3 linked regions of the Cricetulus griseus genome follow. The protein of the gene in region 2 purifies or fractionates together with the protein of the main gene of each other region. This does not show direct contact. Links are inferred from orthologs where the notes say so. Each region holds a gene or a part of one and is shown on either strand. Other genes may lie near its edges.

The links. Proteins that work in one complex are often made in the same cells at the same time.
Region 1: the proteins of Med4 (region 2) and Ift20 purify together in Homo sapiens (affinity purification with mass spectrometry; 3 studies listed by BioGRID and IntAct, with this or other methods). This does not show direct contact. The link is inferred for Cricetulus griseus from reciprocal best matches to the Homo sapiens genes MED4 and IFT20.
Region 3: the proteins of Med4 (region 2) and Ccdc138 purify together in Homo sapiens (affinity purification with mass spectrometry; 3 studies listed by BioGRID and IntAct, with this or other methods). This does not show direct contact. The link is inferred for Cricetulus griseus from reciprocal best matches to the Homo sapiens genes MED4 and CCDC138.

What each region holds. Positions count from the first base shown.
Region 1 is NC_048600.1:91,926,684-91,930,755, reverse strand, and holds the start of Ift20 (intraflagellar transport protein 20 homolog), read right to left. Parts: upstream 2,807-4,072; 5' UTR 2,620-2,806; intron 487-2,619; 5' UTR 333-486; coding exon 260-332; intron 83-259; coding exon 1-82. UniProt on the Homo sapiens protein: Part of intraflagellar transport (IFT) particles involved in ciliary process assembly. May play a role in the trafficking of ciliary membrane proteins from the Golgi complex to the cilium.
Region 2 is NW_023276807.1:228,015,250-228,019,209, forward strand, and holds the start of Med4 (mediator of RNA polymerase II transcription subunit 4), read left to right. Parts: upstream 1-1,138; 5' UTR 1,139-1,144; coding exon 1,145-1,269; intron 1,270-1,294; exon of another isoform or gene 1,295-1,591; coding exon of another isoform or gene 1,592-1,707; intron 1,708-1,796; exon of another isoform or gene 1,797-1,919; intron 1,920-2,156; coding exon 2,157-2,223; intron 2,224-3,517; coding exon 3,518-3,688; intron 3,689-3,960. UniProt on the Homo sapiens protein: Component of the Mediator complex, a coactivator involved in the regulated transcription of nearly all RNA polymerase II-dependent genes.
Region 3 is NW_023276807.1:2,595,351-2,599,382, forward strand, and holds the start of Ccdc138 (coiled-coil domain-containing protein 138), read right to left. Parts: upstream 2,807-4,032; 5' UTR 2,743-2,806; coding exon 2,650-2,742; intron 1,364-2,649; coding exon 1,306-1,363; intron 1-1,305.

The DNA of each region.
Region 1 (4,072 bases), on a different chromosome or scaffold from region 2:
GTAACCTCTGGGTCCAACACCCGAAGCTTGTTCAGCTCATCAAAGTGCAGCCCTGCTTCCCCCAAGATGTCCTTGGCCATAGCTGTAAAGAAAGCAGCCCCAACCTGAATTTCATCCCAGACATCCAAGGAAATCAGGCTCAACCTCAGCCACTCCAGTCCCCAGATACCATTGTCAAGCCCTCCTCATACTCCCCAGATACCATTGTCAAGCCCTCCTCATATTCCCTGTTCCCTCTACCTCCACCTCTCAGCCTCACCTGTTTCCCTTCCAGGCTCCCTAGAGAAGTTCTGCTTTGAAGGGGTGACAGTGGCAGTCAGGAGGTATGTCATAGGAGCAAGGGTCAGGAAAGAATAAAGTCCAATTGCTTGTCACAGGCATCGTTCATTCAACATACATTTCTTGAGTGCCTACTACATGCCAACACTGCTAGATGCTGGGGTGTAAAGATGAATGCAACATGGTGCCTGCCCTGGAGCAGTTTAGCTGGAGGAAAACAGAATGTAAACCTGAAAAACTATATTGCATTAAGTGATTTTACAGAAATATCACTAAGCCAACAGGGGAAAAAAATGAAAACAGCAATTCACTTGGGTGCATCTGGCCTAAGTTGTAAGCCATAAGCATAGTTAGAAATCCCCGTTTATGCATCCCAAAAGGCTTTTCAAAGGTATACACCGAAATGATACACACAAACAAACAAACAAACAACACCACCAAAATAAAACAAAGAAAAAATCTGGCACACGCCTTTAATCCCAGCACTAGGGAGGCAAAGGCAGGTGGATCTCTGTGAGTTCAAGGCCAGCCTGGTCAACAGAGTTCCAGGGAGCAGGGTTGGGGGGGTAGATGGAATAGAGTTAAAAGCCACCTATGGTCATGCATGACTCTAATTCTAGCACTTATGCCAGAGGACCACTGACACAAATTTAGGAGCAACCTGGGTTACATATTGATTGATCTCCAGGCTATACTGTGCTACATAAGACCCTGTCTCCAAAACAACAAAAACAAAAACCAACCCAACTATCTTTTTGTGTTGTTCTATTTGGACAAACAGTTGAGTAGTTAAGAGCTGCCAGGGATTAACTGAACAAGGTGCTATTAATAATTCGTGTAATATGAGGGTGCACACACCAGAGTTTGCATGCATTTATTCAAAAAACTGTGGAATCGCTACTCCAAGGACAGAGTGAACACAATGTCTCCAGACAGACAGTAAGCAAACAACCACTGTGATAAAACTATATATTTATGGAACAGTGCTCAGTGTCGTGAAGCCACTGCAGGAGAACATAACTCAATGGGCAGAGGTCAACAAAAGCCTTCAGAAAAAATAATATGAGACCTGAACATGCCCAAAATAATCTAAGAGAAGGGAGAGAGGTATTCTGAACAGAGGGAAAAGCACATAAGAAGATCCTGAGGCTAGAATTTGGCACAAAGGCTATTGTGATCAAAACGACAAGAGCAACGAGGCTAGACTGGCTAGAGCTGGGTGGTTCAATGCTGGGAAAGCCCCAGTAATGAACTCAGATTTTTTTTTTTTTTTAAAGTGGTAACAGCTAGTAGTGGATTCCAGCAGTGCTCATCGATCAGATTTGGGAAGATCACTCACTGCCTTGGCCAATCGGAGGAACAGTAGTAGCACAGAGGCACACCTAAAAGATGATTCTTCACTGTGAGCCTAGCATCTAAGCAGGTTGCCTACAAGTAAGCGGCACTCTGTAAATGTTTGCAGAATGAATGAACATGGAAACAGTAGGCTGTAACAGAATCAAAGACCTGAAGCTGAAGACGAGATCACAGCTGACATGTTTCCCAAGTCGACAGAATTTAGTAACAGACTGTTGAATGCAGCAGTTTGGAGATAAGTGAAGAAAAGAGCCAAACATGATTGCCATGAGTCTGGACTGGACCGAGTGCATGGCTGGAAAAGCACAGTTTCATGAGATGCTTAAGAAAGAGGGGGAACCATTGCAGGGAAATGATTCACAGTGGACTAAGAGATCCCCACCTCACCCTCAGCCTCTACCACAAACATGTCCCAGGGACCTAGGATTGAGTTTCCTTTTTTTTTTTTTTTTTTGGTTTTTCGAGACAGGGTTTCTCTGTGGCTTTGGAGGCTGTCCTGGAACTAGCTCTTGTAGACCAGGCTGGTCTCGAACTCACAGAGATCCGCCTGCCTCTGCCTCCCGAGTGCTGGGATTAAAGGCGGGCGCCACCACCGCCCGGCTGGGATTGAGTTTCCTAAACATGAGGACCGTGACTGGCTCTACCAGCCTGGCTCTCCCACATCCCCAGGCACTAAAAACAGTTGCGGCTGTGGAGTGTGGAGAAGGCGCTGGCACAGTCAGGAAAGACTGGGCAAAGGACGTGGCTGTCTCGTGGCTGTCTTTACTACGTTATCCTCCTGAATCGTCCGAGCCTCGGTTTCCCGGCGAGATCGTAGGGAGCCGTGCTCTAGGGCTGAGCTGGGTGTAAACCGGCTCCCTAAAAATGTCGAGGGTGGGAAACCGCGGCTTTCGGCCTGGGCCTGCCAATCCCCATCGCGGGACCACGTCGGCCTTCTCTAGTCCCAAGTCCACCACGTCCCCCCGACCTCAAATCACGACATACCTGCCGACCCGTCTTGGCGCGCTGCGGCCCAGATGGCTGTCGGCGGGAAGTTCTCTCCGGTAACCGCAACCAGCCGCTGCCACGGATACAGGACTTACTAAGCCACACGTCACCCCGACACCAGAACCAGTAGCATCCCAGCAGTGCCTGCTGGGAAATAGAGGCAACCCGGGAGGAGCGGCAACTGCCCACGAAACCCAGAAGCCTTTGCGCCGGAGGCCGTCGGAAGTAGATTTGCCCTCACACCCGGAAGCGGAAGAAGGCCAAGTCTCAACCGGATTCCCGACTCCACCGCCTGCTCGCGCTGTGCATGCCGGGTCTTGTAGTATATTTCTCGAGTCGTAGGGCTGGGTTGTAGCTCAGGAGTCGGCCGGCGCAGGACGTGAGCTCACAGCTGGGATTGCAGGCAGCCACGGGCCAGAGGCCGCACGGAGTCCGCTCGCCGTTCCACTGAGAGGAGAGGCGCCCCCGCCGACGGTGAGAGCCAACGTGCTAATGCAGAGGGGAAGGACAGGCTCTGCCGAGTCCTGGGCAAAAGGCACGGGACGGCGCGCGGGGATGGAGTTCAGGTCCTCCCCTGGGGTTGGGTGGCACACGGATCTCAGGAGAGGAGGGGTGTGGCGGGAGAGCACCCTGCACTGCCAGGAGAGGGGTGGGATAGCTCTTCATTCCCACAGGGAATCCTTTGGGTAAAGCCTAAGCATCGCTCTCACGATTTCTGACCTTTTTAGCCAAAACCAGCCTTCTCGCCCTCTCGCTGTCCATCGTGTCCTTCCTTTAGGATCCCAAGTCTTTGCACTACCGCCGATCGTTTGCCCTTTGTTCTGTTTGGCTTCCCATGAGGTTCCCTTAGAGACACGTGTGGGTCCCTAACCCCAGGATTACCCCAGTATCCATAGCCAAAGTCCAGAGGGAAGAGCACCGACGCTATCCATGGAAACTTCATCCTCTCAGAAATTTCTTTCTAGGGCGTCACCTGCCACTGGACTCTTGGAACTCATTGGTCTGGGTGGAACCTGATCTGACGTCACCCAGGACTCAAAGTGGCTCCTTTGTAGGAAAAGAATAGATTAGCTCAGGATTTGACTTCCTTAGCTGGCAAGCCTAGTCACTGAGTTTCTTTGATTTGGTAGAACCTGTATATGTTCTTTGATTCGGGAGAAATAGGGTTTGGACACAAAATATGTGAGGAACTTGCTAAAACTTGTTAAGGGGTTGATTCCCCCCCCCCCTTTGGGGTAGGGCATATTGCTCACCATTCTAACTTTTTTTTTTTCTTGAGACAGGATTTCTGTGTAGCTTTGGAGCCTGTCCTGGCACTCAATCTGTAGACCAGACTGGCCTCAAACTCACTGAGATCGCCTGCCTCTGCCTCCCAAGCACTGGGAATAAAGGCGTGCGCCACCGCCCGGCCTGGCCCCATTCTAGCGTTCCAGTGTTACTTACTGTCAGT
Region 2 (3,960 bases):
AGTGGCTCAGCATTCAGCATTGGTGGCTCATGCTTTTAATCCCAGCACTCAGGAGACGGAGGCAGGCAGATCTCTGTGAGTTCAAGGCCACCCTGGTCTACAGAAAGAGTTCCAGGACAGTCTCCAAAGAAATACAGAGAAACCCTGTCTCAAAAACCAAAAACAAACAAACAAACAAGCAAAAAAAAAGAGTTGGATATGGATGCTATTTAACAGCAATTTTGTTTTGTTTTGAGACAGGGTTTCTCTGTGTAGCCCTGGCTGTCCTGGAATTCTCTCTGTAGGCCAGGCTGGCCTAGAACTCAGAAATCTGCCTGCTTCTTAAGGTGTGTACCACCACTACTCTTATTTAACAGCAAGTTAAGGCCAGTGAACTCTATACATACAGTGGCTAAGATACTTAATTTAAATAGCCCAGTGGTGGTGGCAAACACCTTTAATCCCAGCACTCCAGGGCTTGGGGTGTGGCTCAGTGGGTAGAATGCTTGCCTAGCATGCTTAGAGCTCTAGGTTTGAGCCACAGGTGTGGTAGTACATGCCTAGACTACATGAGACAGTATTTAAAATTAAAAAAAAAACTTTTTAAAAATTAAACACTTGATATCCCAGCACTCCAAAGGCAGAGATAGGCAGAGCTCTGAGTTTGAGGCCATCCTGGCCCATAGAGTGACTTCCCGGATTAAAAAAAGATAGTGAATTTTATATGTATATATATTTTGCTACCAAACAAAAGAATGGGGGGGGGGGAAATGTTGGTTCCTGTCCTAAGATGTTTACTACAACCTCATGAGAGAACTATCTTAACGGGCTTGATAATATTATGGGAATGCAGACAAAATAAAAGTTAATAATTGTGCAATTCTCTCGCTTTCTTAAAATTCGTTTATTAGCAACTTCCCATTGCAGCTAAGGAAACAGGAGATCCAGGAGACTGGATAGCTCTCTCATCCTGGGTCCGGCTGGAGCAATCCCTCCTCTGCGCAGCAGATGGCGCCAGAACTGCAGTGCACCTCCAAGACCGTAGGCGGCGCTCTAGCGGAGCCTCTCTCTCACCACCTCTATGACTCTTCCTCCCGTGTTCCGGTTCCGCCCCTCCTGCCGCTAGCTCACTCTGCGCATGCGGTTGTTGGCGATCGGCTGGGCGATGGCGGCTTCTTCAAGTGGGGAGAAGGAGAAGGAGCGTCTGGGCGGCGTCTCGGTAATGGCAGGCGTTGGCAGCACGCGCGAGCGGCTGCTGTCTGCGCTGGAAGACCTGGAGGTCCTGTCGAGGTAACCGCGGCCCGGGAAACCTGCTCGGGCCGGCCCTGCTGTGGGCGCTGACTGGGGGTAGGCGGGCCGGGGAGTGTCGGGCCGGAGCGCGAGTGTGGGGCACCTGGGGTCTGCGGCCTTCCGGGGCTTTGGGCGGCATGTCCCCACTAAGGGGACATCTCAGCGACCTGGAGCCCCAAGACAGTAAGGAAGGGCCCGGTCCACGGACACTCAGCCCCGGAGTGCCAAGTGCAGGGATGCTGTAGTCGAGGGAGGCTGGGTGCCAGCACCAGGGAGCCCTGCTGGGATCACGAGCCGAGCTGCAGCCTTCTGGAGTCCACGGATGGGACCCCTAGTCCGGTGTAAGCAAGGCGAGCTTCCCAAACCAGTAGGCTGTCTGGGGAAGACATCAGACTCGTTAGGCGTCTGGCAGATGATCCCATCATCCCGGAAAAAAAGGTCAGAAACGTGCAGGACTTGGTGGGATGGCTCCTGTGTGGCAGAAGTAGATTAAGTTGGGTGTCATTCTCCATATTGTCATTATAAAGTCGATCAGTTGGAGCCTTGTAAGGGCAGAGCCCCATCGTCATGGCAGTCAGTGCTATCTTACAAGAAAATAATTTCCACAAGCTGTAGCCCTCCTGGATTCGGCCTGCAGACCCACAGTCCAGGTCAGATAGTTTTCTTGTAAATCACAACCATGAAGCCAGTAATCGGTTGGGACAGAGAGCAGTTAAAACAGTTTCTTTTCTATTTATTCTCACAGGTTTTTATTGTGTTCTTAAAAGGTTTCACTTGGTAGCTCAGGATGGCCTGAATCCCCCCTCCCCCCCACCACCACCCTACCCCACCCCTTTATCGAGTTTAAGGCAAGTACCACCGTACCCTGATGGTTGCTTTTCTTTTAGGGAACTTATAGAAATGCTGGCAATTTCAAGAAATCAGAAGCTGTTACAGCTGGATGAGGAAAACCAGGTAAACGGTTTCTTTTTTAATCTAAAAAAAAAAAAAAAAATGGTGGCTCACACCTTCAGAGGCAGGCAGATCTCTGAGTTTGAAGCCAGGCTGGTCTACAGAGTGAGTTCCGGGACAACCAGGGCTATGTAGTGAGATACTGTCTTGGAAAAAAATAAAATAAAACTCTGGTTTTTAAAAAAAGTATCAGTTTAAAGATTTCAAGTACGTTCTGTTCTCAAAATGAATATAAACATACGCTCAAACCATCTTTTTTGTTTTTGAGACAGGGTTTATCTGTTCGGTTGTCCTTGAGCTCTCCAAGATCTGCCTGCCAAGATGCCACCACTGCCCCTCTCTCTTTCTGGGTTTTTATGTAGCCGGGGCTTGCCTTGAACTTACTGGTCCTCCTACCTTTATCTCAGTGCTGGAATTGTAGGTGTGGTCAACACATCGGCCTGCTGAGCTCTTCTGTGTGTTCCAACCTCCCTTACATCATGAGTCCTTAGAATAGTCTGGCATACGATAGGTGTTATTGGGGAAGTTTTCTTTTTAGAGGAGAGAATAGGCTCATGGAGGGTGGTGACTTCTTTTCCTGTGACTTACTGCTAGCAACTGAAGGGTTACAAACTAAACCCCAGGCTTCTGTTCTCTCCTTAAAACTCTGCTTATATTTTGAAGGGGAAAAAACCCCAGCTCCCCCGCCACAACAAGATAGCATATTAAACTTGGTGGCATTTTTCCATATCTGCATACCATTTATTCATTATCTATTTATTCATTCTTTGTTTTTCGAGACAGGGTTTCTGTGTGTATCCCTGGCTATCCTGGAATTCACTCTGTAGACCAAGCTGGCATTGAACACAGAAATCCACCTGTCTTTGCCTCCTGAATGTTGGGATTAAAGGCGTGCGCCACCAACGCCCGGGTGTATCTCAAAGTTTTAAAGTGTTTGGTGCCAACTAAAGTCACTTCAAACCATTAGATTTTGGAAGAGCTTTTTATTATTCCGTAGTATAAGGATAATTTTTTTAATTTTATCTTTGGAAGATGAATAAACTTGAAATTTGCACAGTATTACTTCTGAAAGATATGTTCTACATGGAAAAGGACCAGAATAAAAATGGAAATTCTTGATATTAAAACTTGTTTCCTCAAACTACCCCAAATGGGCTATGTATATTGTTAATGCTGATTAAGACTATTCCGGGTGTTAAAACTGGTAAACCTAGCCAATTCAAGCATGGGTTCTTTGTCTCATTGGTGATAGCCTTGATAACCCTGTTGTCTGATGGAATCAACTATTATTTGACAGGTCTTGGAGCTGCTAATTCACCGAGATGGGGACTTTCAAGAACTGATGAAGTTGGCACTTAATCAGGGAAAAGTCCACCATGAAATGCAGGCATTAGAAAAAGAAGTCGAGAAGAGAGACAGTGATATTCAGCAGCTGCAGAAACAGCTGAAAGAGGCAGAGCAAATCCTGGTGAGTTGACGGTTGGTCCTGGAGAGGCGGCTGTTAAGTTCTCTCCTCAAAACTCTTGTTATATTTTGAAGGGAAAAAAAAAAAAACAAACCCAGGTTACCCTCATCCCCCCACGAGACAGCATCTCTGTATAGTGCTGGCTGTCCTGGAACACACTGTATAGACCAAGCTGGCCTTGAACTCAGAAATCCAGCTACCTCTGCCTCCCAAGTGCTGGGATTAAAGGCGTGTGCTGCCACCACTACCCATCTTCCAGCTATATATTTTATTTA
Region 3 (4,032 bases), about 230 Mb from region 2:
CCACTGAACTTTGGTTTTTCTTTTTCAAAAAAAAAAAAAAAAAAAAACCCACAACACACACACACACACACACACACACACACACACACACACACACACACAAAATAAATAAATAAAAAACAAAAACCAAAAGATGAATAAGGCAAAAAGTGTCCAAAGCAAAATGAAACAAAAAGTCCACAAAAATACCACTGAGTTTATCTTGTGTTTGCCAATTACTCCTGGACATGGGGTCTGCCCTAAAATAATTAACCTCTTCAGAATGAAGATTGCCTTCAAGTGGACCGGTAAACAGAAATGACTTAAATTTGGTTTTATTGTATAATGCTTTTCTTTCTCCATTAATTGTCACTGATAGTTTTGCTGGGTATAGCAGTGTGGGCTGGCATCTGTGATCTCTTGAAAGCCCTTCTGACTTTCAGAGTCTCCACTGAGGTGTTATTCTAATGAGCCTGCCTTTATATGTGACTTGGTCTTTTTGCCTTGCAGATTTTAATATCCTTTGTTCTGGACATTCAATGTTTTGATTATCATATGTCATGGGGAGTTTCTTTTCTGGTTCTGTCTATTTGGTGGTCTGGATGCTTCTTATATGTTGATAAGCATCTCTTCCTTTAGTTTGGGGAAATGTCCTATAATTTTATTTAAAACATTTTCTGGTAGCTGGGCATGGTGGCACATGTCTTTAATCCCAGCACTTGGGAGGCTGAGGCAGGCGGATGGCTGTGAGTTCGAGGCCAGCCTGGTCTACAAAGCTACACAGAGAAACCCCATCTTGAAAAAAACAAAAAGTTTCAGCTTATCAAAAAACATTACAACCCCCAGGATAATTATGTTTTCCAAGTACATTCACTTGATAAATTTTTCCTTTACTTTCTATCCTAGTAACTCTTCCTGCTTAAAAATACCAATTAGTGTTCTTCACCCAATACAGTCTGCTCAATTTTTAACATCTTAAAAAACAAACATATTAGCTGGGGACATGGCTTAGTGATCAAGCACTTGCTCAGTCTTGATCAAGGGTCTGGTTTTGACTCCTAGTAGCACAGGAGTAAAAAGAAAGGGAAGGTATACACACTATAAATTAAACACACACATAACACACACCAAAAACTCTGGTTAAATTTAATTTTTAAGGGCATCTCACACATTCATCCCTAAATTCACAATTATTATTGTGTATCTACCAAAAAATTTTAAATAAAAAATAAGTAACACTAACCGTACATCTAAACCATTACAAAAATTTCTTTCAAATTAAATTTGTTAAAATACTCAAATATACAAAATATTCTATTGACTTACCTGGGGAGGTTAGAATTCTTCTTTTATATTTAGTCTGATCAAAATTTGAAAACTCTTGCTAGGGGGGTAAAAAAGACACACTTAAACACTAAGAAATATTCCCTTACAATATTTTTCCATAGATTACATGTTAATTACAAAGGTTAGCATGGAAAAACCTAGGGCCGCACCCTAAGCAACATTAGCATCACTAATTAGACAAGCAAACATCATGTACTTGTTGATTCATCACAGCAGCCCACGAACCTTCCGTATCATATTCCTGCCAAAACTACAAAGCCAGAATCAAATCAAACCAGAATCAAATCAAACTCAAACTGACAGATATTCTATACACAACATTCTTCAACCTTGTGAAAGCATTCATGTTGTAAGAAACTAAGTGTGGGCATCTGTTGTAAAGGCAACAGAGCCAACCAAATGCAATGTTCAGACCTAAGTGGCATCTGCATTAGGAAAAACTTTCTACAAAAGGTCTTAGTTGCGGTAATTAGTGAAATCTAAGTATGAGCTACACATTGTCCTGTATTATTGTGGCAATACTAAATATCCTGGAAAGTATCAATGAAGTTTTAAAATTCTGAGAACCTGCTTCACAGGAAAACCAAACCAGAGGAGTACGTGTTACAATCTGAATTAAGGTTATGTGAGGATAGAATGGATTTGTGACACGGGCATGGGAACTCTGAGATATACTGACATTTCTCTAGAAGGGATTTTGAAAAGTTAGCAAATGTGGGAAGGAACTAAGGAATGCCTGCTACCTTCCTCAACTTCTGGAGAACAGAGTACATGATGTTCCAGTACCTCATATGTTGAGCTTTGGATTTGCTAGGCTGTGAAGCAGGCTTCTCAGCTGAACTGTAAACGCCTCTTATCAAAGGAGGTGTAATGATGATGATGATGATGATAATAATAAATAATAATAATAAATGAGCCTCGTGGAAACTGCATAGCTGCAATTGGTTTCCCCCGCTTCGGTTCTTCCAGCATTCATCCCACAGATTGATATTAACAAATTGCATCGGTGGGGATCCCGCAGCAAATAAGCCAAGACTCCCCTGGTGAATGGCACGTTCAAGGGAGGGCTACAAGAATGCATACTGCCACAACTTCTAAGTTTGCAATTACTTCGGAGTAAGAAGCTTGCCCGAAAGAACCACGTCGTCTTCTATGCCTGCTGCACTCGGGTCACCACCAGCAGGACCAAAGCCACGCCCCATGCATCTCGGCGGTTTCCCTGAGGGAAGGCGCTCCCGGGCGAGCCTCCCCAAGGCAGGCAGGCCGGAGCCCTCCCACAGCCGCCCGGGCGCCGGAGCCCGCCGCGGGCTTCACTCCCCTCACCTCCACGGAGCAGCTTCCCGCCAGGCCGTAGAGGCTTTTGAGACGCTCCACTATCATGTCCTGCCCCGGTGGCTTCACCACCCTACGCTCCATGGTGGGTCGCTGGCTGACCACGGTCGCCTGGGGAACCGCGCTCACAGCCGCGTCAGGGCGGGCAGTACGTCACGACGCTCGGCCCCGCCCCCAAGGGACGCTGGAAGCCGGTCGGAAGACGAGTGCGAGGAGGGCGCACCCAGTTCCTCTTTGTCCCTTCAGTTTGTCCTTCGGTTCCAAGTCTCCCCCTCACCCTCCACCCCCCAGCGAAATAAGTGAGCAGTGAAAAGCAGCATTCCATCTCCCCTCGCGAGCGCAGCCAGGCAGAAGGAGGGAAGAGTGTCTTCTGCACATCTGAGGCCAGCGTGCCACCCAGGGCCAGGGGCCACGTGGGACATCAGGTAGAAAATTTACCGTGCATACAACTTGCCCAAACACACTTCTCTTCATCAAAGGTGGTTACTATCACAGAAAAATCAGGACATGTATGAATGTTAGGCACATAAACTGCAGCAAGTTACCTTTTCAATTCCTTTGCCTATTTCCACAAATTTGAGTTACGCATGGAAGATGGAGGATGGGCTACGTGGTCTTAAATTGGACAACTGCCTCGGCTACATGAGGAGACCTACCTCATTAAGTCAGAAAAACGCTCGGTAAACACGTCGTTTGCTTTAAAACAAAAACCTTTCTTTCCCTAGCCCTACAACAGCACACAGTACAGTTCAACCATATCCTACAAGCTCATATCTGAGAACTTCCAATAAGTGCTCATGTGGACCAGCAACCCCTAAGAATCTAAATTCTTTAGATTACTTTTAAATTCAAAAGCTGATACTTTAGCAAGGAGACAGTAAACTACTAAAAAATGCTTAAAGAATACCTTTTGCTATAAAATACCATCTAAACTGTTTTATTGTGGAGTCGAGGGTTTTTGGTGTTTTTTTTTTTGGCAGATTTTAATGAGAATACAAAATCTAGCCAGTCGGAAAAGAAACACCAATTTAAGTTAAATAAATTAAAATAAAATAAACACATTCTAAAATGTATCAAATATCTTATAAAATACTTCAAGCTTCTTTTAAACTTCTTTGTAGGAGCTCAATAGCTTAGCCATTAAGAACACTGACAGCTCTTCCAGAAGACTTGAGTTCCATTCCTAGAACCCAAATGATGGCTCACAACCTGGTAACTCAACAGGTTGGAAACACCTGTTATTGATGCCAATCCTGGAAAAATTAGCTTAACACACCATTTTGTCAAGTTTTTGTCAAGGTCTTTAATAACCCTAATAGTTTGAAAAAGTAAAATTATCTCTTAAAAAGCATTTGCAACCATGCATAGTGGGTA